Drosophila melanogaster: one gene and its partners. The protein of the gene in region 2 interacts with the protein of the main gene of each other region in a pairwise test. Each region holds a gene or a part of one and is shown on either strand. Other genes may lie near its edges.

Region 1 (8,993 bases), on a different chromosome or scaffold from region 2:
TTGAAAGCATGAAGAACTAAACTACTTTTAATTAATAGTGCTTTTCAACACCAAAATAAGGAAAATGTATTTGTAGAACACTTGCAAATAAAAAAATCTTCATTGTTTTAAACGCATACAAAACTCTTAATGAATACATCAACCAAAGTGGTTTTGTATATAGAATAAGCAGAAATTTCAATGTAATTGTTTCAAGAACATGCCCACCTATATTTGTCAGGAATTTTACACAAATTTTTCAGTGTTATTTAAATTCCGAATAAGACATTTCAACCGAAGTGCACCTTTAAACATGCGAGTTTGTTGAAAATTCGCGATGTTTCTGGGCATCTAATAAACCCATGTGGCATACATTGTTCCACCGTTGGACAATTTGTTGACCTGCGGCACTGTCATGTGCCTTGCCCAACTTTGCTTGTGTTACAATATTTTCCGTCATCACAGGACCTGCCGAGGCTGAGGTCAACTGGCAATGTGTGTGTGTGTGTGTGTCCTGCCGCCTAAGGGATGCTGCTGATATTGTTGTTTGGGTCTCTCCGCAAACCCATTTATAATTTATGAAGGTAAGCAAACACTTTTGGCCCTCGCAACGACGACCGCACACACGACACTGCACGACAGGACTGGAGGACATGACATCACGACCCCATATAGCAGCCTTAAAGGATTCTGGCCATTTGGCTAGGTGTAATAGTGAGAAGACGGGGGCGATCAGGAAGGAAAGGTCGGCCCAAGTCAACCTGTAGGCCGCTTTGATTCGAGGCCCAACGACTTTGCAGGCACATTCCCAAAATTAGCAGGGATCCAGGAACTATGTAAGCAAACAGAAAAAAAAACACTGCACAATCCACAGAATCCCACAGAAATTTTCAAAAAATCTGAATGAGGATTTCGAGAGAACAAAAGCCGGCAGGGTAGCAAGACCAACTTTGGCCGCATTATAATTTTGAATGTTTCGGAGCTCGGAGTTTGAGTTGGCTTGCATATGCTTTGTTGGCCCATTCCGCATTATGGCATAACGAGTTGCACTCACAACTTTCCAAAAGCGCATTTTGTTAAGAGTTGTAATAAAGGGACAGAAGGGCAGCTCAGTGGGGAAATCGTATAAGGGATTTAGAAAGGGGTAAGTCCACACTGCTGTAAACGTGTTTATTAAACATTTTTTGGTAAGTTTTCAATTTCGTTAATATTTTTGTGCGGCTGCAAAGCCAAAGGACCAACGTAGAGTTATACGAAGGGTTATAGTTTATTGCTTTATTTTTGCCTCCATTATTGGGCAGTCGACAGAATGAGAAGCTGCTTTTGCTGATGGAAAGCAATGAGGTTAAGGACCTTACGAAACTATTTGCGGAAACGGTGGGCCATTTTAAAACTTTTTCACTTATAAGAGGTGCGGATGTTTGTTTTAAAGTTTAAAAATGGGTATTGTATTTTAAAATTTTTGTGGTAAAAAATGACATATTTTATATAAATCCGCTTTGGACCTAAAAACTGGATTCTTTGGTTTAAAATTTACAAACCGTTTAAGTTTAATATTACTACAAATTTACCTTCTTTGGCAGCTTGTACTTATGTTGGTCGTTTTTCGCTTTTTATATTGACGTTGAACTTCTGTGAGTACCATATTGTGTCCTTCCTTCTAACACTTCGGATTGAACACTGGATTATGGCATCGGAGTATTGTTTTCTGTTTTCTGCTTGACTTCTCTTGATTTACATAATTAAACACCATAGCCTCTTCATCGTCGGAATATGTCAAAACCTCAAAATCGTATTCTTTATCAAGCAACGACGTATCCTGTCGGCATTTTTTGATTCGATCTACAAGTTTTTTTTGGCATTTTCGCATTTTGTTTTTTTTTTTTTCTGATTTCATCAGGTAGAATCGGTGCCCAGTCTTGAGAATATGTCCTTTATTTACGCCAATTCGCAGTGCAACATCTACGCTGCCCTTTATATGCATTTTTGCAACTTTAAGCTTAAAGGCTACTTCTTCTAAGATTTCTCGATAAGTCACTGGGCACTTCTTTTCTTTAAGAACTTCCATAATCAACGCACCATATGAAGCACATGCCATTTTAAAAAAGGGTTTACAAGAAATTTAGATCACTTAACTTTAACAAATTTTGAGCTTATATTCTGTTTAAGGAATAAATACTAATAATGGCATTGAATCACTTGCTTACTTGTGAAAGTTTGGTAGAGTAAAATAAATTTCAAACAAGGCAAGATTGTAATACAAAATGAAAAGCCGATTGGAAATTTAAAAGCATTCATGATCTTAAGTTATCAATTTTTTCAAGTACATATATCTAGCTTGAATAAAAATGACACTATCTATCGATATAATTAGCATATTTCTCAATATTTCATCTTCAAGTGCTTATTACGGGTCAGAATAAATTATATTAACTAGTCACTGTGCACAAGGAAGTTATCTTAATTACGTGGAAAATTCGAATTAAATTATTTATTAAATAGAATTACCAGAAGAACCCCTATATAAGGAATCGCTCCGCAATGCCGCACAACTTTTTGTCATCTTTTATGGGCCATTGTTTTCCCATTTCGCTAGCCCCGTGGCTTCTTCTAATCTAATTTCGGCAAATCAAATGAAACAACGGGAAGCTCAGCCCCCAGTTTCATCCTCCGCAATTTCAAAGAACGACAATTTCCTTGCCTCCACTCCCCCAGCTGATCCAGAACTACTAAAACAATTTGCCAGCAGCTATTTCGCGTCTTGGGATCCGCTTACGAGGACAATTATCCATGTGTGTGTTGCCAAGTGCGCATAAGATTTTTCACCCGGTACCCGAATAAATAAGGAAACGAGGAGTTGGAGATACTTATCCTGTTAATCTGGCAGAACAACAGGAGAACATAATGCACTGAAAGGATGTCGCTGTTTTCCTAGTTTTACGAGGCATGATTTAAGGTTTAAATACAAAAGTGCATTTAGGAAGAAATGTAAAAACTGCATTTTCCTGATTTGATACCTTTGCAAAGAGAGGGATCTGGTTTAACACTAGGGAATATCAAATCCTAAAGTGTATTCCACCCGTTCATAGGACTCCATCCCCAGTTAACTGTGTGTTAGAGTGTGCGACGTGAATGCGTTAAATTAAATCAAAAATGTATGAAAGTCACACGCACACGCAAGGAGTGAGGGAAACCCCCCAGCTGTACTTACGTATCCCAAAGCCGAGAGCTGGAAGGACCAAAAGGACGAAGCTGATGCGTAGCCAAGACGCTAGTGGGGATGTATGGAAAAATCGGCGACACCACGGCGCTCCTACTCCTGCTCGTTCTGCTCGTCCTGCCACTGTCATCTCGGTTGTCAACGTGGCTGGCCTGGTCCTGGTTCTGCTGATTCCGGTTCTTCGACTGGTGCTGCTCCAGCTACTGCTGCTCTTCTGGCTCCAGTCCTGCGTGGCAGTCCCAGTGGCCCAGTTCCTGGCTGCAATGACACTTACAGCGCCTTTTGTGCGCTCATTGTCCGCCTGCCTCCAATTGGGACTCGTTTGCGGCATCGAATCTGGCTTCTCGTGCTCCTTAGGACCAAGACCAGGGCGAGGGCCAGGACCAGGACAGACAGGATCTGCTGATTGCACTGCGCCGTCTTGGCTGGCAAACTTTGTCGCATTCTCTGCTCCGTTCTCGAAATCCCAGTCGAAGTCTCAGATAAATAGGTTTATTGAATTAATACACTTGGGGCTGGCTTGGGTCCTGGCTTGCCTCCATTTGGGTTCTATCTAACCTCTATACTGTTTCATTTTATTTTATTTTATTTCATTTGATTTTATTTCTAGCTTTCGACAAAAAATTGCAATTCTTCTTTATGGGTCGGCCACAAGTTTTTCGATGCGTTTTCTCAAGCGATTTTCGTGCAAACCCATTGTTGGCTTACTCGGTCTCTGCACTTGGTTTTGCACAATTTTTGTGTTGCTTGATTTATATATTTATTTAAGTGTTTTCGCCTTTGTTGAGTGGCAAACTTTTATTGGCGATGCAGTGGCACCAGCATAGACAAATAAACTGGCATCGGAACTCGACTTTATTCCATGGTAATCCAATTTGTTTATTTAGCTTTTTGGTCTCTTCCAAAACTTATTTTGTTGAACAGCACAAATCCGTTTAATCCCTAATAACTACATTTACCTAAAATGTTGTTTGCATACGATTTTATTGTGATTGTAAAAGTGGTTTTGGGATACCATATAATTGAGTATTAAAAGCACGTGAAGAAAAATACGTATTTAAAACAAGAATAAAATATAACCTTACCATTAAAAATGGTATTTCTTTAAAAACTAATCTGAACAGAGTTAACACTTCTGCATGGTAACAAAACTTTTGAAAACATATTTCTACATCTTGAAGTTTTACTTCAACAGCTCAATCAATGGAAAAGTCAAGTGCTCGAACTTGCCAAGAAATATAAATCAACTTATTTCCACTTAAACTTTCATAATCGTTTTGCAATTAATTACATAGAATTTCCTTTTTCTTGGTTCCCGGCTCACTTTCTTAAAAGTTAATAACTTGCACGGCTTTCATGCAGAACTATCACACAATGTTCTCGATGACTAATGGCCAAAACTTTTCGCACAAAAAAAAACCTTAAAAACTTCGACCATTTATAGTGTTTAACAAGTTTCACATTGCCTTTCGATGGGCTTTCTTTGAGTTTTAGGTCGGTGGCAAAAGGTAACAATGGCCATATGGCCGGGCTCTAAACGAATTGTGTGCAGCTTGGGTGGCTTATATTTAATGATTTAACACGTGAGAAAACATTTACACTTCAGTAACAATTTATCGCATAATCCGACTTGAGAATATTTTTTATTTCGCCCTCCTTGGCATTATTCTTGCTGCCCAAAATGATGCACAATAATCCCTTTTTTACGTTACGCGTCCTTGGAGAAATCCTCTGTTTTCTTCGGTCCTGTTTTTGTTCCTCGGCTTCGCAATTCAGCGCGGCATTCTAATATCCATTTGCATAAGGCGGGAGCAAACAAATTTTAAAAGTGATTTCGGCAAAAGACACTCGACAGGCGGCACTGCAGGACACGGGACACAGGACACCCAAGAGGACATCAAGTGGTTTAACTTTGTCTTAATTCTTCTTTTCTTTCTTTGCCACTTTCCATTAACTTTTTTCTTCGTTTCTGTTGTCACATTTTGTTTTCCTAACTCCCGCCTCTTCAGCACAAGTCCCTTTCAGACATAAACGCGTAAAATTGACTTCTGGTTGCGGTTTCGTTTGCGGTCTGGGTTTCCTTCCACCATCCGAGTCACGTCCGCGCGAACCGGATTCAAATTTTCGACTGAGTCGCGTTCGAGCGACGCCATCCCACTTCCCATCGAGTTCTTAACATTCCGAGGCGGATAGTGCCGATTCATAGCCATTCCGTCGAGCGTTCCACATCGGATTCTCCTCTGTTTCATGTGGCATACCGGTTCGTTTCCAACTTCCCCAGCTTTGTGCCGTTCACATCCCTCTGGTTGCACTGAATTTTCGGAATCGAACCGTCGGGTTATTTGCCGGCTGTTTGTTCGCGCCTGCGCGCTAATACTGCTTTGGCAACAGAAGATTGAAGATTTATTTTTTATTCCGCGGATGCCATTTGTAGATGACCAACAAAACACTTGTTTCCGCCGGACAAATGCCTATTTTAGTCGCACATGAATATCAATTGGTTCGCTCGACGCCACCAAAAATCGACCATGATGTAAAATATGAATTGACGCCTCTTAAAAATGGTATAAAGATTGATACATGGAATATATAAATCTCGTAGCTATTCAATTTTAAAATGAAAGAGTTTAAGAGTTAGCAGTTTGTAACCGACCTAAAATATAATATATATTTTAAGCAGTTAATTTCTATTCCCTCTTAAACCGAGTGTTAGCTTTATTTTGACATTAATCTAAGCTGAAATATACTCATCCGTTCTTCAGCACTTTTCTCTAAGGTTAAAGTCACGAGGCAACCAACAAATAATTGGAGTCGTGCAAATGGTGACCCCGTAAATCACGGTGGTGACCGCGTTGGCATTCGGTCACTAAATTAGCTCGGTGTCTGTTGAAAAATCATCGCCTTTAGTGGCCGGAATTTACTGCCCCGGCGAAGACATATCTGTGGTCTCGGGTATTGTGCGACAATATGCCATTATGTAGAATGGAGTGGGCCAATATGCGCGGCTTGATGAACGACGGCCTAGGACTAAGTATAATCTCGTGTGCTTTGTTGTCAAAGAGCAAGTAACAAATAAATATTATTGAACTTTTAAGTCCCCAGGGGGCGGTGGCCTACAGGCAATTGACGCCCCAGTGCGATAACAGAGCCAGCGGGCAGATAGGGTGCTGAATATCCTCACACAGGACCAACATAAATTCCTGCTCAGTTCAATTTATTGTGTATTGACACAGCTTACGGAGAAACAAATAAAAATGTTTTCGAAAGTGCGGGTGCGCTTGGTGCCAAAGTCCATCCCCCCATCCCCCCCTGCGCTGCGTAAAGAACTCCTCCCAAAGGCTCCAGGAATGCGGACGAGTTCCCCTCGGCTACTTTTGCCGCCCTTCCATTGGTCCTTGAAGTCAGGGACCTCGTTGGCATCCATTGTTATTACCTCTTTGTTGTGTTTACACGCCATTTGTGGTATTTCACTCACTTCCACTTCCATGTGGCTCACCTCGTCTCGCCCGCAGCAAAAGATCCTGCGGCGGAAGGTGTCGGGCGGGATGCGGGCCAAAGGCTAAGGGGCTGGCTGGCTGTCGTAAAAGTATATTTGAAATGCAAATGCCGGCGGGCCTTAAAATGCTCAACTTCTGGCTCACAAAATAATCAAAATATACTTTATGTCGCCTTTGAGCCAGTGAAAACAGTGAACAGTTGCGCCAGTTATCGAAGCCAAAAGCCAGGCAACAAAAACCAAAAGCTGCTAAAAGCCCATCAATCGAGTTGTGAAATAAAACAAAAGATCAAAATTGTAGTATGCAGTAAAGCGACTGCATAGTACTCTTAAAAATATATAATATTACACAAGCGACTTCTGGCACATATAATTTTCCATTTCTATCCATTAAGAAACTGTAAATCTTATTTAAAACATAGATTCTAGCAACAATTGCTTTTTTATAACAAAAAAAATATTTTGGGCCCTTAACAAGGCTAAATTTATCAAAAACTTTAAATAAATATTAATTATTCAGTACATTTTTGATGGTCCGTCGGAATTGCTCTTCCCAAAGACCTCAAACAGAAAGTTGATGGCTTTGTATTAGCTAAACATTGCTCAGCTGTTAATTTTAGCACTTTTTATAAAGGTCGTAAATAAATTAATATTTTTTGTTGGAGGCAATCGCATCTGGGCTAAATTTAAGCAAACATCATTTCTCTTGGGACAGGAACTTGAACTACAAAAATTGGTTTGCTCATTTTGGGGAGTGACTCTCGAGTCGCACGCCTGTCAATATATTTCAATATCTACATTATGATTGCTTTTCTCAATTTTTTCAGATTTCTTCAGACTTCAATTTTCCCTGCGAATGCATATAAATATATATTTTCCTTTGTCCATATCCTTGTTCGTTTTGGAAGGGTGCCCAACTCTGCTCTCTCCGAATATGCGAATTTTCAATGACATTCTAGACAAATTTCTGATAGACGGTACAAGGCAACATACACGCATACACATATGAGAAAATCTGGTTTGATTTTATCCTGCGAGTACAACGGAAAATGCATCTACGATATGAAATATTTGTGAAGGAAAACTATTGAAGAGCCAAGGAGATGGTCTGGAAAATACCAATATGCATAATGTTGTGACAATTTATTAGCAATTTATGCACTTAGGCCAAACAAGTTATACTCCTAGAGTGTCCTATTAACAAGACCCAAACGATAATGCAAATTATAATTTTGTTATTATTGAATCGGATGTGACAGCCTGAGGCTCGCAAGTGTTAATTCTGTTAGAAAATTTCATGTAAATTTAGGTTTCAAAGAATTGAATGACGAACAGCAATTGAAGAAAAATAAAACCAATATTCGGAAATAGATAAACATTAACTGCAACCTAGAGAACCAAAGTTCAGTCTGCACCTGCGGTTTGAGCCAGTTGAGCTGTGTTTATTGTTAAAGGGAACCAGCAAAAGTTCGAGAATCAATGGGGTTTGAGTGCAACCAGCAGCTCACAATCTACCGCACTTGATTTCAGTGTTCAGGCAATCGAGCCAAACGCACTTTAAGCCTCACGCTTTTCATTTCAAATGCCATAGAGAAAGGAAACCCATAGAAATCGAAACGCAAAGTAAATTGCACTTAATCGAATACTATGTAAATGAACTGCAGATGGAATCGAGTGCAAGCCGAATAGTCGAACGAGTGATACCTTGTAACAGTAACATTTTTTTTGTAACAGTAACATTTTTTTATTCCTCAACAATACTCAAAATCCACATTTCTTTCTGTGAGCAATTAGTTTTTTCCCTGATTTCAGCCAAATTTTAGTTGACTAAGTTAAAAATGCTAGATAAAACGTGTGCGTTGGTTTTCGGGTTCATTAAGGTTGATTGTAACCGCTGTAACCCACATTTAGCACCAACAACATTCGCGCTACTAACACTCTTTGTTGCATTTTTTTTTTTCCTATTCAGGCGGTCACCCTTTGCCCTGCGTGTCGTTATCCTTTTGTGGTGAATCAGGATTAACGGTAAATATAATTACTGCACCCTTTATCCTGCGACGGGAAAAGGTGAAGGAGACACTGGCGAAAGCGACGTGACGTTAATGACATTGTTGGTTGGGGTCGCAAACCCCCACTGGATGCGAACCCTTGGCTAATTTGTTCTATGTTCGACTTGCGTCTAATTAATGAAGATTGTCTCGCATAATCGTAACGCTTTATTTTATATTAATTGTTGTGGGCTTGCCAGACCTCTTAAGTGGTAAGCTGGGCATTTTTCTTACACAACACATCCTAAAT
Region 2 (8,575 bases):
AAAGTGACAACCATGTCAGTAGTATTTGGATGACTTAATCCTGATGAAGTTGTTTACGAACTAAAGTTAAGTACTTAGTTAGATTAAGGCTCTACTTCGCTGTATTGTTTGGTTCGTACTTCTTGAGCGCGTTGCCATTTTTTTCAACTGCATCATCAAAGACTCATTTTCATCCTCGAAACGAGTCACCTTTTTCCTCAAATGTTCAGCCTGAAACACAAAAACGTGATTTATTGCAACTGAATAATGACGAGTGAGTAAGAATTATAGATCGAATACTCGTAAACCCATTCAGAGATCGTTTTCGAGGATAAAAATAGTTTTGCAGAGCTCGGACGAATAAAAAAGAACATAAACTGGTTCTACAAATGGTTACTACACGAAAAAAAAAGGCATTGTATCGGATCGAATCCTTTTGGCTGAGGTTCTTGGTACCTGCTCCACTCAAAAGGACATGTGAAATGGCGCTGGGAAAGAGCAGCGAACCGGACTGTCCCACTCTGGACGATGACGATGGTGGAAAGAGCCCCGCAAATGGAGACGACATTGTTTCTCTTTCGATTGAAACATTTCTATCGGGCACTTCGAAATCGGTTTGCGTGACAGCCACATTGGAGGTCACCAAGTTCTCCACACTGGTAGACATATCGCTCTGAACCGTTGCCACTGTCTGTGTGCCTCGGGGAAAGGCCACCACCTCGAGTGGCACCTCGGTTTGAGTACCACAACTGAATCTAACACGCTTTCGCTCGCGATCCCTAAGTCGCTGAAGCTTTGCGTAAAATGGTCAAGTGATTAGTCGAGTGGGTTGTGTGCGTCAATGGGCATTACCTCTTCTTCCGCGAATTTTAGTTGGTCCTTTAGGTCTGTCTCCCGCTCAATGGAGTCCTGCAGCTCGCGTTGCAAGTGCTGCGGATCTTCTTGGGAGCCACCACGCGTCAAGGACTCTCGGGTGAATTTGGCATCCGCCGACGTCGACTTGCCTAGGACACCCAGCATGGGTGCCTTCTTCTTGCCAGGATTGCGTAGCTCCTCGGCTTCCGCCTAGGAAGTTTATTTATTAGTAAATACTTTTGGAAATCAACTTAGCTGATTAACCTGCAACTTTCGGGTTAGCTCATTGGAGAAACGCAGCTCCTCCTCCAGTTTCTTGATCTTATTGGAAAGCTCAGCATTGAAGGAACTTTGGCGTTCCTGCTCCAGGGTTTCGATCTTGCGATCACTCTTCTTCAACTTGAAGCTGAGAATGCGACAGTTTTTGGTGGCCTTCTCGAGATCCTTCTGCAGACTGGTCTTGGCCTTGACCTCGTCGTCGCGGAAGGTGTCCTGCACCTCGTCCATCTCTGCCTGCAGGTTGAGAATCTCCTTCTTGGCGCTTTGGTTCTCCTCCATGAGCTCCTCGCAGATCTGCTCGGCGGCCTGTAGCTTTCGCCGCAGCTCGGACTCGCTACCCTTGTTCTCCAGCTCCTTCATCCGCAAGTTAAGTTTGCGTTTGTCCTCCGTTACCCGATCCAGCTGCTCCTTCATTTCGTTCAGCTTCTGCTGGAGATTAAGTGCTTCCGAGGCTGCTGTCCGATTCGAGGCGGTATCCATGGAGGCCAGACGTCGCAGAAGAATATCACTCTTTTCCCGCTCCGCTTTTTCCGCCCGTGTCTTCATCGTTTCCAGCTCCAGTTTTAGCGCCTTCATTTGCTCTTGCATGCCATTTGTGTCCTGGCTCTTGGATGCAGTGCTGGCGGTGCTACTGGTGCTGTTGGAGTGGGATATCGATGCAGCGGGAACGGTTTGTCTTTTGATTTCTTTGCTAGCCACTGAATCCGCCTCCTTGCGACGAACCGAGCTCGAACTCGTCGAAGAACTGGACGTAGACGTGACGACCTTCACCTCATTGCTGGCGGATGTGGAATTTGAGGTTTTCAGGGAGGTGCTGCTGCTGTTACTGCTGGACGCCGTCGTGGTGGAAGCCACCGCCACTTTCTTTGGCGGTAGGGCAGCTCGCTTCTGTTCGGCTTGGGCCAATTGGTTTAGGGAAGTACCCGACTTGCTGCGCTCCGGACGATCGGGTACCACTGGTGTGGGTGTAGCTGTAGACTCGCTTTCTCTAATAGATAAAATTTAACATTATTATCTTGCTTATCTCTGAAGATTGCAATTGCTTACTCTTCCCTCCGCGGAACTGATCGCTCCCGACTGTTTTCCCGGGAGTTGAGACTGCGCTGCTTCTTGAGAAGATTCATTTTACGGACACGCTCTGCTAGACTGTCTGTCGATAGGATGACTAACTCATCTGGAATACTTGAAGTTTTACTGGGTGAGGATGTGACACGGGTTGGCGGTGTAATGGCGTGTTCCACCTAGGAAATACAAATCACGCAGAGCGTAAAAGACATCTTCTATAGCCGGTCACCATGCAATCTTACCTCCTTGATGTCCAAGGCGGTGGTATGGCGTCGCGGTGGAACCGGCAGCTTTACAGTGACAGCCACATCCTGATCCTCGGCGGAGGATGCTGCTCGACTGGTGGATGCCGTAGCCGGCGGGCGGCGAGCCACATTGTCCGGCTCGTCGATATCCGGCGTGGAGGCCCATGACTGCGGACGCTTCCTCAGCTCTACATTGAAGTGGACAACTAGGCTCAGTAAGGGCGTCAGGTGTGTTGCATGCAGGTGCAAGTTGCGAGTTGCAGTTTGCAATTAGCGTTCGATTCCACTCGGAGCCGTGGGTGCGAGAGTGAGACAAACGGATGCCACAGAACGAGCGAGAGAGAGAGCGTGGGAGCGCAGTACAGATCACGCGTGGCATGGTAGTAGTTAACATTAACGGTTCATTTAATGCAGAGATTAGTGTTGAGAGAAAGTAAGAGAGAGCGAGACAGAGACAGACACAGAGCAATAGAGATGACACAGTTGGCGGTGGTTTTTTGTGCACACGCAGAGTGAGAGTGAGAGAGATAAGTAGACAAACACATTGATTAAGATTCGTAACAATTTTTTAAGCAACTTACTATAACTAAATGTCAGAGGAACAATTTCTCAATGGTAAAAATACTTTAAGAACCAAATTATTTCAAAAACTACATATATTGTTATGTTTCTAGCAGGTTTATGAAAGTATAAAACAGTGAAATTAAGAGTTTGGACAAATTTTTCTAGTTTACTAGTTGCATTGAGAAATCGTTTTTTTAATTAATACATGTATTAAACATAAACAATTTTAATACTTAAAACAATAACCGATTGACAAGGGTACTGAAACTATTTGAATTCTACACAAACATTATAATCAACAACTTAACAAATACTATTAAATAGATTAAGCTTATAATGCATATAAATATTCCATTTATTCCACGTTCTCGATACCATTACTATGATTTTTTGCGAGAACACACTCAGCTACAAAGTTAAGTTAGCTTCTAGCGCTGATTAACAATAAACAAAAGTGATCGTCTTTATTTTAATCATAAAGTTTATAGATTTCTTAACCGTTGCGAGTGGCATTCATACCTATATCATTGCCATTAGTTGCGTTTGCACTGGTAAGATTTTGAGTTGACGTCCACGTCCGCGAAGAGGGTCTATAAAATAAAGTATTATGTATGTTCAAAGGTGGAAATCCCGGGAAGATCTTACCGAGAACTCTGGGCATCGGAGAGATTGGGCGAGGAGGCGGCCACCTCTTCGCCGGCTCTGCGGGCTCCATGCTCCTTGTAATCCCGGAAGCAGCGCTTACATCGCGTGGGATACCGAGTCTGGGGATGAAAGCCGAGTGGGCACAACTGGTCGCCTTTCAGCGATGGGTACAGATGATGCATCTGTTCTCGTACAACTTATCAGCTTTTCTTTTTCTGCAAGAGTTGAAGTGTGAAGTCCTCTCAAGCCAACGCTTTATTTTATAATTAACACGGTATGCGTAACATCTCACTACTGGTTTTATTTATTTATTTTTTTCTTTTTGTTTAAAATCTTTTAAATTTACATTTGCTATTTCTATGTACTTTTCGCACGATCCCAATACCCAATTGACTGCGCAAGTCTGTGGAATTTCTGGCACTAAGCCAAATCGACAAAAGAATTTTGTACACGTTCATCAAATACTTAAACATTTACATTTCGTTATCATTCACTTGGCCATTGGTTCTAAATTGAATAGCTGCCTGGTTTGATGGCTATTGTCAACGTGAGTTGGAAGTGCAGATGTAGATCAATGCCTTCGATTAATTAACTATCCCTCATTGGAAGACAGATATATTAACTCTGAGAAACAAAAAATGAAACTGATTTAAAAATTAACTTACTAAAAAAAGGAAATCAGCAAGTCGATTTAACATACATATGTATGTATATCTTGGAATTTATTCTATTTTTAAAAAGAGGTGATAATATGCATTCTTATATTCGCATTGATACACATATACAAATATTAACTTTAACTATAATTATAAAAATGTTTAAAATCTGGATTTAAATGTAACCATTGCTAAGAATACTTAAAAAATGATAAGTAACTTACTAGTTACTAGTACTATGATTGAAGAAAAAACTCCTAACAACAAAAGCTTCACATCCTTAAACTTTGACTTTTCTAATTCAATTTCAAATCATCCTTCATATCTGTCACTTCAGTCAGGCATAAACAATCGAATGGAAATGGTAAATATAAACAATAACAAATATGTATCCATCTATTTGAGTATTTTTAGAGCGATCTATGAGTAGAAAGAGAGCGAGATAAGCTGGCACAGGTGGAAGCTAGTTGCGCAGGCGATTTTCCGCCGCTTGCGCATGTTTTTTGTTCTTTTGGCGAAAATGGCGAAACTCAAACGAAAGAGCGCGATGCGAAGAGAAAGGCGAAGAGAAAGCGCGGAGCTTTCACCACTCCTTTCTCTGTGCGCTCTGCTGCTGCGATGATTGCAAATCCCTAGTGCGTTTATAAATAATTACCAGCGTTTTAACCTATTTTCATCTAAGGCGCTCTGTTTTTCGTCGGCGCTGGCACTTGCAAAATGTGTGACTTAATTTAGAACGCAGTGGACTTACACGAAATACTTCCGCATTTAGAATAATTTGCGGCTGGACGACGGGGAATGGGGCCAGCCTCTTGGATGTGGAAGTGGATGTGGATGTTGATGGTTGCGTAACCGTCGGGATTCAGTGCGTTTCGACACGGATTATACAGCAGTTTGGAGCATTGGTGTACATATGTAGATTCTTACAGGGATTGGAATCCCCAAAGCCTTTCGTTCACTTTCGATCACACACACACAAACACTCGGTTGCTGCTTGGTTGATTTAATTTTGGAATATTCACTTTATACAAAACATTTACGGCCACAGAAATTGGCTGTGTTTTATAAATAGCATAGTTTTCTTCTTGCTAAATGGCAGCGCACTTCCCATAAATCTACCCAGACGATTTTCAAATGCAAGACTCTCCGGAAATATCGTTAGATTTGGATCAATAGCTTATTATTAGAGGGATATATCTTTATATCAACCATGCGATCCAGGCAGTTTTCAATTTTTCACCCGATTCACATTCATGTACAAAGGCCAAGCACGTATGTGCCTATATATTTATATAGCTTTAATATAACCGTCGATTGCCCGAGCACTCGAAATACTTATATAGATGGCTGCCATGCGAACCGGGCGCAGTTCCTTGGCACTTTTTTTTCGGCTGCGAACGCGTTGAAAATCGACGAGAAACTAAATTTAAATTATTTCTGAAAGCTTCAACTACCTACCAGTCGTGCGAGAAAAGTGTTTTCCTCAAGAGAACCGATATTTTGGCGCAGAGAATCGATGAGAGCGATTCGAAAATTATTCAAAAATATTCAAGTCCAAGCCAATTGAAAGTTTCAGCCATAAATCTTTACGGGTATCCATATAATATTACTTTTACACTTCAGGTTCCATATTTATCAAAATTACAAAAATGTATTTGATAGAATTAAAGAAAAAAAACACTGTAACTAATAATAATAATAATTACTTCAATAATATCTATTCAAAAAATTGGTTTTCCTAATTTTCCATATTGATTAATAACCAAATTAAACTTAAACAATACAATAATGAAATTATTTAAAATTTTTTAAACCCCAATATTTTGCCTTTGGAATCTTAAGCTTCTAAAATTATAGTTATTACTGCTGTTTTTTTTTCTCATGGCAGATTCTGTTCAACTTGGTTCATTGTGTAATAAGTTGACTTTTTGAAAATTAACATGACTATATCATAAATCTTCTGCTCGATAACCATTGATAACCATTGTGGCAAATGTTAATTTTAGTGGCTATACTTTATTCATATTTAAACTCCACACAAGTATGTGTGTATATCAAGTTCTGATCAGCCTTACTCGATAAGCAATGAGTCATATCCAATGAATTATTTAACCGCTTCTCTGTTTGGCTGGGATTTAGAATGGCCAAATTTAAAAAGCCTTCTAACAAAAATATTCAAATTCATGGGAGGGGCGCATAATAGATGGGATTCTACTCGTAACATCTTTTGGGAAATAACTTAAGAATTAGTTAGCTTACGGAGTAGCAATCTAAAGCAAAGTTACATCTTATTTAAATACACTACTGAAATACATTTGTATGTTAAATTAAATATGCTCATTCCTTTGGTTATTCCCCGATTTGTATTGGAATTTATTTAGCAAACCATAAAATCGACAGGGTACATTGTACATTACATTTGTGTGGGTGTGAGTGTGTTTACCTCGTTTTAAATAATAAACTTCATTGTTCTCAATGCGTATGGACAATATGTTGAAATTCGTATTATGTATAAATTACTTAGAGATTATCAATCGCTAAGAGCTAATGCAGGTTATGTGGGCCCTCTTCGTGCGCGGCCTGTTTTGTGAGTGGGTGAGTAAATACGATTCAAATGAAGACCAAACGAATCAACAACGTTGCACAGCAGCACCTATCATGTTGCGGGCGCTACTGTCGCCTGATCCTCGACAGATTCGTTAGACGTCGTCGCTGGCGGCGGTGCACTGGTTGTGTTGACTGCAGGTCCGTTATTGTTATCATTCGCCAGCGGCTCTTCCCCCGGCGGCGCCGTCTCCAATGTCACACTTGGTGCTTGTGTTTCACTTTGACTATGCACTGGTGCAGTGTTAAATGAGTTCGTGGTGCCGGCGACTTTAGCCGGTTGCTCCGGACTGCTGTACATCTGGATAACCGAGTTGTTGTTCATGTTTTCCACCGAGGCGCCCGATATGGACAGATCGTCGGCGGAGTCGTCCGCCGTACTGTCCGTTTGCACAGCCTTCTCCTCCAGCAGGTGGTCGCTCTCACGAATCGGTCGCTGCGAGGAGCCGTACTGCTTGGAGATTTGCAGCAGCTCGCGCAGCGTTTCGTTCTCCAGACGCAGCTGGGATATGGTCTGCAGCTCTCGCTGCACGACACCGTCATCTACACTTGCAGCTAGCTGCATCACTGCTGCCATTTCGTTGATCTTCTCGCGCTGCTCCCGGATCACCTGCCACATGCGTTCGTTGTACAGCTCCTTAAAGCTAAACTTGCTATCCAGGACCTTGGAGACGGTGTGCTCGCGATACTTTTGCATCATCAGCTCCATGGCACGCTCGTAGTCCTCAATGAAGATCTTTAGCTCGCGATTCTCTTTGAGTATCTCCGAGCTGTTGATGTTTTGCTGCTGAATGCGATTCACCATGTCCGCGTTGGTCTTGTTGTTCGAAATGCGGTTGAGTGATTCAATGTCGTCCTGATACTGGCGAAGGCTCTCCACCAGCCGATTGTTGTTCTCCGCCTCCTCGAGCAGCGCCGTGCCCAGGGCGTCCAGGTCCTTCACCCGACTGGCCATGCGCTGCGCATCCATTATAATCTGGCCCACGGATAGGTTCGACATCCTGCCCAATTCAGTCCAGTTGCGATTTTTGGATTTGTATTGTTTTCGGGGGCCAGGCCCTCTGCTGCTGGCACTGCGAAAACAAAGGGAACCGCTTAAATTTGTGCACTTTCTGGGGCCTACGAGCAGTGTCTTACGTTCGGTGCGGGTAAGGTGCAGCTTCGTCCCTAGCGTAACAGCTTCATTTGATTTTCCGGCCAAAATATGTAGGAATAGAAACGATTTTAATAGAAATTTTGACGACGACCCAATTATTGGCTGACAGCTTATTAAATCCCAAACGCCATCGGATGTTGCACAAATCCCTAACGCCACTCATTGAATGCGAAAAAATACTGTTTCAACACTTGATATACCGCAAATATACCAAAGATTTAAATTATAATTTTGTTTTTTAACTTTTAGCTTGAGATGTCATTTTTTTGGCTAAATCCTTTATGTTTATGTTAAAAAACTCTTTTAAGGTTAAAAGGTGAAGCTACAAGCTTTATTGTCATTTTTGTATAGGTCATTAAGAAGCTATCAGTACAGATTTTGATCTTATCGCGAAAAATGGAAGACTTAGCGTAGAATGGACATAATGCTATGTTCTTAAACGATCATGCATACATAAATCTAGTTATGTCTATTTAAGTACCTATTTAAGTACAAACAGCAAAGGTTTTGTCATTCAAAGTGGTAGA
Region 3 (8,262 bases), 7.0 Mb from region 2:
ATTCGATGCATAGGCTAAGATGAGAGGAATTTGGTTCAGTTTGTTTATGAGAGTTTATTATTATGAATACATGTAAGTCGAAATTTTTAAGTGTTGCGACTTGTTTATACCTCAGTTGGATAATTTTCTAAAATATTTTTTCTAATTTTATTTTGAACGAGCCCAAAGCATATTTAAATATAAATAAAATAAAATAAAATATATTTGAATATGCTAATTTACATACCCAAAAGATACTTTTGGTTACTGAAATATTTTATTTGCATCCCATCACTATTTATCCGGGAAATTACAATTCGTAATGAAAGAACATAAAACTTAAGACGATCTTTAGCTCGTTCTTACTTGACATACATTGGCATTGCGAGCCCTGGATCTCCCCCTCCAGATCCGAATTAAGCGCTGAAGCCCTCTTATCATTGCCTCCGGCTGTGATTAGAGGCTGGCCCAACTGCGTCGTCTCCGGAGCAGTAAACAATAGCGACTTGAGCGTTTCGGTAGCGCGCCACAAAGGAATCCGCGCCCAGCACTGAGATGTCAACAATACTGCGATCTCTGTGCCTCCACTCGGTGCTCCTGGTCCTGTTCCTCTGCGTGCTGCACGGCCTGGAGCTGCAACTTCACGAGCAACAGCTGCAGCAGCAAAAGGACGAGCAGCTGCGCCTGCGCGCGGAGCAACGCCAGCGGGAACTGCTGCGTGAGCACGAGGCTCTACAGCGACGCCTCTCGTCCTCGACCACCACACGGAAACCCTATATAATACCCAACGGTTTGTCGCTGCCCCGGAGAGGGGAACATCCGGACAAGTGCCGACAGGAAGTGCCGTAAGTGTGTGCCGGTGACAATCTAAGCCCATTAAATCCTTGGGCTCTTTTAGACCTTGCCCATAACCAGCACAAGTTCTCGTATGGTTTATAACTTTTAATTTTACTGATATATCTCAAAAGCACACATGCATTGTATACACCAATCCAATCTCCAGGGCCGTGTTCTTTCAGTACGACAAGGAGGTGAAGATTGTGGGCAACAGCTCCACCAATCCCTACATGAACGTGATCGAGGTTTGTTGCAAGGGCTGGCGCCGCTATGAATATGACTGGAGCCAGTGCGTTCCGGATTGCGGTGAGCGGTGCCAGGAGAACGGCTTCTGTGTGGCGGGCGGCAAATGCGTGTGCTTCACGGACTTTGTGCTCAACTACCGCAACAATTGTGTGCCCACCTGTCCGTTGGGCTGTCCGCATGGTCGCTGTTACTTGAACGGCACCTGCCAGTGCGATAAGGGATACGAGCTGGACGGATCGCGCAAATTCTGCCAGCCGCAGTGCAACGCCACCTGTGGCCACAACGAGGTCTGCTTGGAGCCGGGCAAGTGCTCCTGCGCCGAGGGATATACCCGAGGACTGAGGGAGTCCGCCGCCCTGGGATGCCAACCGATTTGTATTCCGGACTGCGGATACGGTCACTGCGTGCGGCCCAACGAATGCGAGTGCTTCCCCGGATTCCAAAAACGCAAGAACGGCATCACCTGCGAAGGCGATTGCTATATGTGAGTGTTAGAACTAGACGCCTCTCCTTTTACATTTAATAATTTAATAAATTTCTTTCAGGACCTGCGAGAATGGCTTCTGTGCAAACAAAACGACGTGCGTGTGTCAGAACGGATATCGATACGATAAGAATACGACGACCTGTCTGCCGGATTGCGGGGACAACTGCGATAATGGGGTGTGCATCTCGCCGGGCAACTGCCGCTGCTTCAAGGGCTACGTCCGGAATCGGGAGCGATGCGAGGCGGTCTGCGTGGGTGGATGTGGTTTTTACGGCAAATGCATCGCACCGAATGTGTGCGGATGCGCCATAGTCCCGGGTCCGGAACGCACCTACCAGCGTTGCGAGTACGGATTGTGCAACGCCATGGGAAGATGCCGCTGCCAGGTGGGCATGACGCGATTCATCGATCGCTGCATGTCGCCGGACACGGTCACCACATACGCCTCTATGAATCCCGTCAAGGTGAACGCATCGCTCATCCAGGAATTCAATCTTCTGCTGGGCAGGCACTTCAACTTGACCACACTCAGCGATATGTGGTGGTTGTGAGTTCGGAGCTCTCACTTTTCCAGCATCACTGAGCAGTCTCTAATAAATATTCATGCATTTCCCAAGACGTTGTGTTCTTATCAGGGGTGTCTGAAATATCTTGTGGCTTCATCTCTTGGGATTTCGCTTTTTTGAAGCAAGTCTAGCTTAAATTGTAAACGTACGTCGAAGATTTGGTACCCTCTCGAAAGTTGTTTCATTTGAATAGGTATTTATTATTTGGTATATCACTTATTTTCTGCATAGTCAACATACCCCACGAATACCGGGTACTGAACACATAATTATCTTCCTAGGAATATAGAACATTTCTATCTCCGTACACTTAAATGCCGCGCTTGACACAGACGACAATTTAGTAGCTCCGAGACACTGGCGAGCATTGCGCTCGCATTTTGATACGACCTCGCCTTCAGCTGAATCCGAGCGAAATGCACTTGACATCCACGCTGATTGGACTCCTTATCTGCGGTCTGGGGATCGAGCTGCCCACGCGCACTGCCGCACAATTCTGGTCGGTGGATCCTGTTACGCAGTGGCGAAAAGAGGCTCTGGCCGAGAGGGGATCCGGCATCTGTTACAGGACGCTCACGTAGGTAAACCATTCCGCACGCCTGACCGAATTTCAAGATCAATTCCCACTCCCAGCGTGGAAACCATCAATCCCAACTCCAGAAATCGTCAGTTCTCCTACTGCTGCGATGGTTATGTGAATAAGGGAACAAGCCAGAACCTGAAGTGCGAGCCCATTTGCTCGGAGGACTGCTCCAATGGATTGTGCCTGGCGCCCGAGGAGTGCGAGTGTGCTCCGGGTTACTATCGGAGTAACAAAAGGTGTCGTTTTGTCTTGGAATAACAAAAATAAATAATATCAATTACAATATTTTTTGAGTTGCTTACTTTATCATTATTTGATCAATACTTCTACTATTTGAAATATTATTAACCTGTTTTTTACGACCATTCATGATTACATAGAAACGTTAAATTTTTTTTTTGAAAAAACCTTCATAAGTTTTAAAGGTTCATCATTTTTATGTTCTGTGCCTTTAAATCTGATATTTCATCAAGAAATAATCTCTATACCTGAAGTCATCGTTGTACGCAAACTTTTCTTGGAATTACCCAAAAGCAATGAGTTTTGTTTACGACTCACAATTTATGGCAATGATCGATTTGCTTTGCCCGAAGCTACTGAGAGCAAACCTTCGCTCCGTTTGCCACATTGATGGGTACATTGGCGAGGTGCTGATTAGAAGGGGGACAAGAGGTTGCCGGAGGCGAATGGCGGCTCAGAGATCCGGAGCTTCGCATCGGGAGCCGATTAGTCGATGTGCAACTACAGTCGCCAGCGGACGTGGACGTGGGCGCATAATCAATTTCCATACGTACGAAATCCGTAATCAAGTGACATCACCATGAGGTCATCATCGTGCCAGCTGGTGACTCTGGGCGTTCTGCTGGCCATCTGTTCCCTGGGTCAGGGACAATTCAAGACGGCTGGCATCAAGACACGGCAGCCGCCATCGGGAAACCTGCAGCTTGCCGGCAATAGCAGTGAGTCGGGATGGAGGAGCTACAACCAGAGCAGCTACGGTTGGAGCACTCAAAACCAGAGCAACTACGCCTGGAACCAGCAGAACCATGTGGAACAGGGATCCGCTGGATTTGTGCGCGCCGAGGTCTTTCAACCGGTCACATTGCCGCCCCTTTATGGACACTACGTGCAGCCGGTGACTCCGCCCGCTCATCGTGTCCAGGTCCTGGATGAAACGGCCCTGTTCATCAACAAAACCAGATCTGCCATGGCCAGTGGTGTGTGCTACAAGGAAGTTCCGTAAGTGATGGGTTAATTTCGGACAAAAAATACTAACAATCGAGAGGAAAACACTTTTATAATTCCACTTAAAGCTATCGCCCAATTCGGAAGGCATTCGAAAACAAGGCAAGCCATAAAAATAGTGAACTAACGACCTCAACTTCCTCCGCTGGCCTGATAATTAAAATGCGCCTTGATTTCACGAGTATATGTGTGCCAAGCTAATAATGTGAATGAATTTAATATGCAACGAGCGGAAAGTCAGTAGATAAGCGAAAAGTTTTTAAATTTAGTTGAATTGACTAGTTTCATTTGCATTCTCTTGGACAATATGTAGTTTAAAACTTTAAAGGACAAAATTATTTTTCAATTTTGACACACATCTTTACTAAGGTATTATTTAGACATGTTGATTATCTGTTTTATTAGTTTCCCTAGGAAAAATATATGTCATTGCATTCATGATTTTAAGTTGTTTAAGTAAACCTAATGTTTTCCTTGTTTATATCCAGAACCGCGTCACTGCTCCGCAATTCGCGGGATCAGTTCGTTGGCAATGGCACCACTCCGGACATGAGTCGCATCCAAGTCTGCTGCGATGGCTATGAGCGAAATCCGCACATCTACCGCCGCTGTGAGCCGATCTGCGCGGATGACTGCCGGAATGGAATATGCACTGCTCCGAATACCTGTGTCTGCATACCCGGCCACGTTCGCACCGCCGAGGGCAAGTGCATCTCCACCTGTCCCCTGGGCTGCGGCAACGGAGTGTGCGACGAGCGGAATGAGTGCAAGTGCCGCGAGGGATACTCGCTTGAGCCGGAGACTCGTAAGTACTGCCAGCCGGAATGCAAGCCCGGCTGCTCCTTTGGACGCTGTGTGGCGCCCAACAAGTGCGCCTGCCTCGACGGATACCGCCTGGCCGCCGATGGATCCTGCGAACCAGTGTGCGACAGTTGCGAGAATGGCAAGTGCACGGCTCCAGGACACTGCAACTGCAACGCAGGCTACCTAAAGCTCCAAGGACGCTGCGAACCCATTTGCTCCATGTAAGTGTGGCCTTTAAAAAACAATGAAATCTGCTTGCGATGTATAGTTTAGATAATTTAATTATTTCCCTATTTCAGACCCTGCAAGAACGGACGCTGCATTGGACCGGACATCTGTGAGTGCGCTTCCGGTTTCGAGTGGGACCGGAAGTCGGCCGAGTGTCTGCCGAAGTGTGACCTTCCGTGCTTGAACGGCGTCTGTGTGGGCAACAACCAGTGCGACTGCAAGACCGGATATGTGAGGGACGAGCACCAGCGGAACATCTGCCAGCCACACTGCCCGCAGGGATGCCAGAACGGTTACTGCAGTGCCCCAAACTTCTGCATCTGCAGGCCGGGATTCATCAAGAGCGGCATCAAGGGACGCCAGACCTGCCAGGCCGTCTAACTTAGACTTTCGCACTTTATTGTTTCGTCTTGGATCAGAAATTAAATAGACGCCCTATCAGGGCATTAAACTCATAAGCAAGTTGGCGATTGAAGTGCTTTCTCTTTTCGCTAGTGTTGAGATGCTGACTGAGGCGGTCCGCCTTCAAACAGCGATCGATGAAGTGGGTTTCCCCCGATGGGCAACTGCAGTGCTCGATATCGTCACAGCTTCCGTTCCGGCAATGCTGTTGACCCTCACCACAGCCGCAGATTTCGGGAGCCACACAACGCCCGTATTTGCCGCAGAATCTGCTGAATAAGCGGAACTTCATGAAGGTGAACACAGCTTTTGCTCCGGGTAACAGACCTCTCACACTTTGGCCGACACTCGGCACCGTGGACCTCGTATCCTCGGAAGCAGCGGCACACTCCGGGCGCAATGCACACCCCATTTCCTTGGCCACAGTTGTCGCTGCACTCCGGCAAACAGCTGGTGGTGTTCACGTCGTAGCGATATCCTTCGCGGCAGTGACACTTGTACCGCGACTCACAGAGCCCATTCTCGCAGTTCCTGGAAGCGATAAGCAAATGGCTTAAATTGGCGGACAAATTTAAGATACTTTAGATAAAGATATATCGATACTCTTACAGGTAGCACTCAGCTTCGCATACATTCCAATTGGGCCGTTTAATGAACCCGGCGAAGCACTCGCACTGGTTGGGCGCCACGCACTTGCCAAATCCGCAGTCCGGAGCACAAACCGGTTGGCATCCCAAGTCCGGCGTTCTCCGGTAGCCGGGTGAGCAGTCGCACTGGCCGGGCGCCACACACTCCTCATGGGTGCCACATGACTGCGAACACTTCGGCCGGCAGAACTGCCGGGTCTCCTGATCCAGGACAAAGTTCTGATGGCAGACACAGGTGCCATTTAAATAACATCTGCCATGCTGACAGGCAATCGGACAGGTGTGAATACAGGCACCATGTTCGTTACGGACAAACTCTGCGAAGCACTCGCAAACGCCAGGACTGCGACAGAAGCCATTACGGCAGTTGTCTGGCGAAGATGCGGAGCAGTCCGGCACACATTCATTGGCATACGGATCGCGACGGTAGCCTGCACAACAGACCTCTATGCGATGGAAGTAGATCGTGGATCCATTACCACGCACCGGGGAATCCCGCTCGGTTTGGAAAAACACAGAACTGTAATCATCAAATCGAATTAATCAATGGGCGCTTGTAATCATTTCTCCCAGCATGCGCTCAAATAAATATATATATATTTGTTTATTAATGAACGTTTGTTTGGCATTAAGCTGCTTTGTTTTATTTTCCATATTTTTTAAAACTTCCTTTTACTCACGGCACCTCGCGATGGCACAGATGTTGCTGACGCTCGCGAGTTTGACTTAGTGACTCAAAATCGCCGTACTCCGTATTCTCTATGTCGCCGTAGAGCTCCGTGGAAACCGTGGAATCGGTCTTAATCTGGACAGGAAATGCCACCAGCGTCAGTAGAGCGGTAAGCCCGGCCAACGGTCCACTACAGTGCATCCCGTCTTGGTGTTCTGAGCTTCGATGTCGAGTAGCGAATGAACAGGCAGTCCAGGGGTTTGAATCTACTCAAAAGACCTTATCAGCATCAACTCTCAGTCTCGAAACGAAAACATTCAGAGAAAAATGAAAACATTAAGTTGCCCTTTTCAATCCAGCACATATTGTTTTATTAGACGATTTTATTAAATAATAGTCTTTAACTTACAAAATGTGGCTACATGGCTTTATTCTAATAATTATTTTATGAATCAGCTTTTGCATAAATATAATATGTTTTATAATATAGTAATGTTATTATAGCTGTTTTTTATTTTTAACTATAAATATAATTAGTTTTATATATTTTTTGAAGTCATAACATTTTTTATTTTTAAAACTGTTGCTACAGCAAACATACTTTTAAAAATTTAAAACGTTACAACTATGCGGAAACTACACACGCCACAATCGTAGACTTTAAAGAAACTTAAAGTCTAACACATAGGTTTTTATGGATATAAAAGTGTTAAATCTAATCAAAGACTACCCTTAAATAATGCAGAAACCTTTAACCATGCAAATCACCTTTAAAAAGTAATAGAAATTAGGTGAAACTCTATTAGTTTGATAATCGCCAATCCAATTCTTATATGATTTATGAATTAATTTTTTTTTTTATGTTTAATTAATGTTATTTTTCCCAGTTCATATCATATCTTCCATAATATAATGTTATAATAATTCGTGGGCAGCTTAAAATAATGATGTAATCAAAATGTATGCTCACTTAACATTTGGCTTCTGTACATAAATTTATTACTGATCTAAAGTATGTTATAAAAATAAGTGTGGTTGTAAAAACTCGCAGACTTTAAATGTGAGTTTTGGGACAAATTATTGGATAAATATGATATAAAATTACCTGGTATATGTTAGAAGGGCACATTTCAAGTTTAAATTGAAATAGATTTGTACAATATGTAAAAGTTACCAAAGGTCTAACGAATTTTCATATGTTCAGAAAAATCCTTTGTGTCAGCAATAAAGTTTACAGGTGGGCAACTCTTTTGGCTGTGATTTGGGCAGGAACCTGCAAGAAGTTTGAGTTCTGTGGCGGAATTATCAAGTGGGTGACATGATGCGACCGCTGATGCGGATGAACACTTCCATTGGAGAACTGGTCGTTCGCGGGCATGATCTGTGGCCTCGCCGGCAAAAACTGAGAGGCGGTTGTGGAGTGCTGAACATGCTGATGGCTCCGTGGGTGGTGCTGCTGATGGTGGTGCTGTTGGTGGTAGCGAATCTCGTCGTACAGATGCGAGTCCAGGCTTCCCTTTCGAGACTTGGGCGAAACCACCGAGTAGAGTGACTCCTTCCTGGCATAG

What was found.
Region 1: the proteins of CG18304 (region 2) and dpr17 interact in a two-hybrid assay, tested with the Drosophila melanogaster proteins (one large-scale study listed by BioGRID).
Region 3: the proteins of CG18304 (region 2) and NimB2 interact in a two-hybrid assay, tested with the Drosophila melanogaster proteins (one large-scale study listed by BioGRID).

The regions. Positions count from the first base shown.
Region 1 is NT_033777.3:12,091,214-12,100,206, reverse strand, and holds the start of dpr17 (defective proboscis extension response 17), read right to left. Parts: upstream 5,332-8,993; 5' UTR 4,907-5,331; intron 4,578-4,906; exon of another isoform or gene 4,159-4,577; 5' UTR 3,531-4,158; coding exon 3,191-3,530; intron 2,122-3,190; exon of another isoform or gene 1,551-2,121; intron 1-1,550.
Region 2 is NT_033779.5:6,937,105-6,945,679, forward strand, and holds the start of CG18304 (uncharacterized protein), read right to left. Parts: upstream 5,711-8,575; 5' UTR 5,040-5,710; intron 3,848-5,039; 5' UTR 3,815-3,847; coding exon 3,633-3,814; intron 3,578-3,632; coding exon 3,507-3,577; intron 2,630-3,506; coding exon 2,421-2,629; intron 2,355-2,420; coding exon 2,161-2,354; intron 2,102-2,160; coding exon 1,099-2,101; intron 1,045-1,098; coding exon 832-1,044; intron 773-831; coding exon 436-772; intron 211-435; coding exon of another isoform or gene 120-210; intron 1-119. Other genes in the region: Fgop2 (fibroblast growth factor receptor 1 oncogene partner 2), read right to left, coding at 6,945-7,892.
Region 3 is NT_033779.5:13,962,181-13,970,442, reverse strand, and holds NimB2 (nimrod B2), read left to right. Parts: upstream 1-3,424; 5' UTR 3,425-3,518; coding exon 3,519-3,937; intron 3,938-4,431; coding exon 4,432-4,968; intron 4,969-5,046; coding exon 5,047-5,356; 3' UTR 5,357-5,390; downstream 5,391-8,262. Other genes in the region: NimB4 (nimrod B4), read left to right, coding at 535-824, 983-1,546, 1,608-2,100; NimB3 (nimrod B3), read left to right, coding at 2,532-2,692, 2,749-2,956; NimB1 (nimrod B1), read right to left, coding at 5,391-5,649, 5,705-5,908, 5,987-6,544, 6,705-6,895; NimA (nimrod A), read right to left, coding at 7,926-8,262.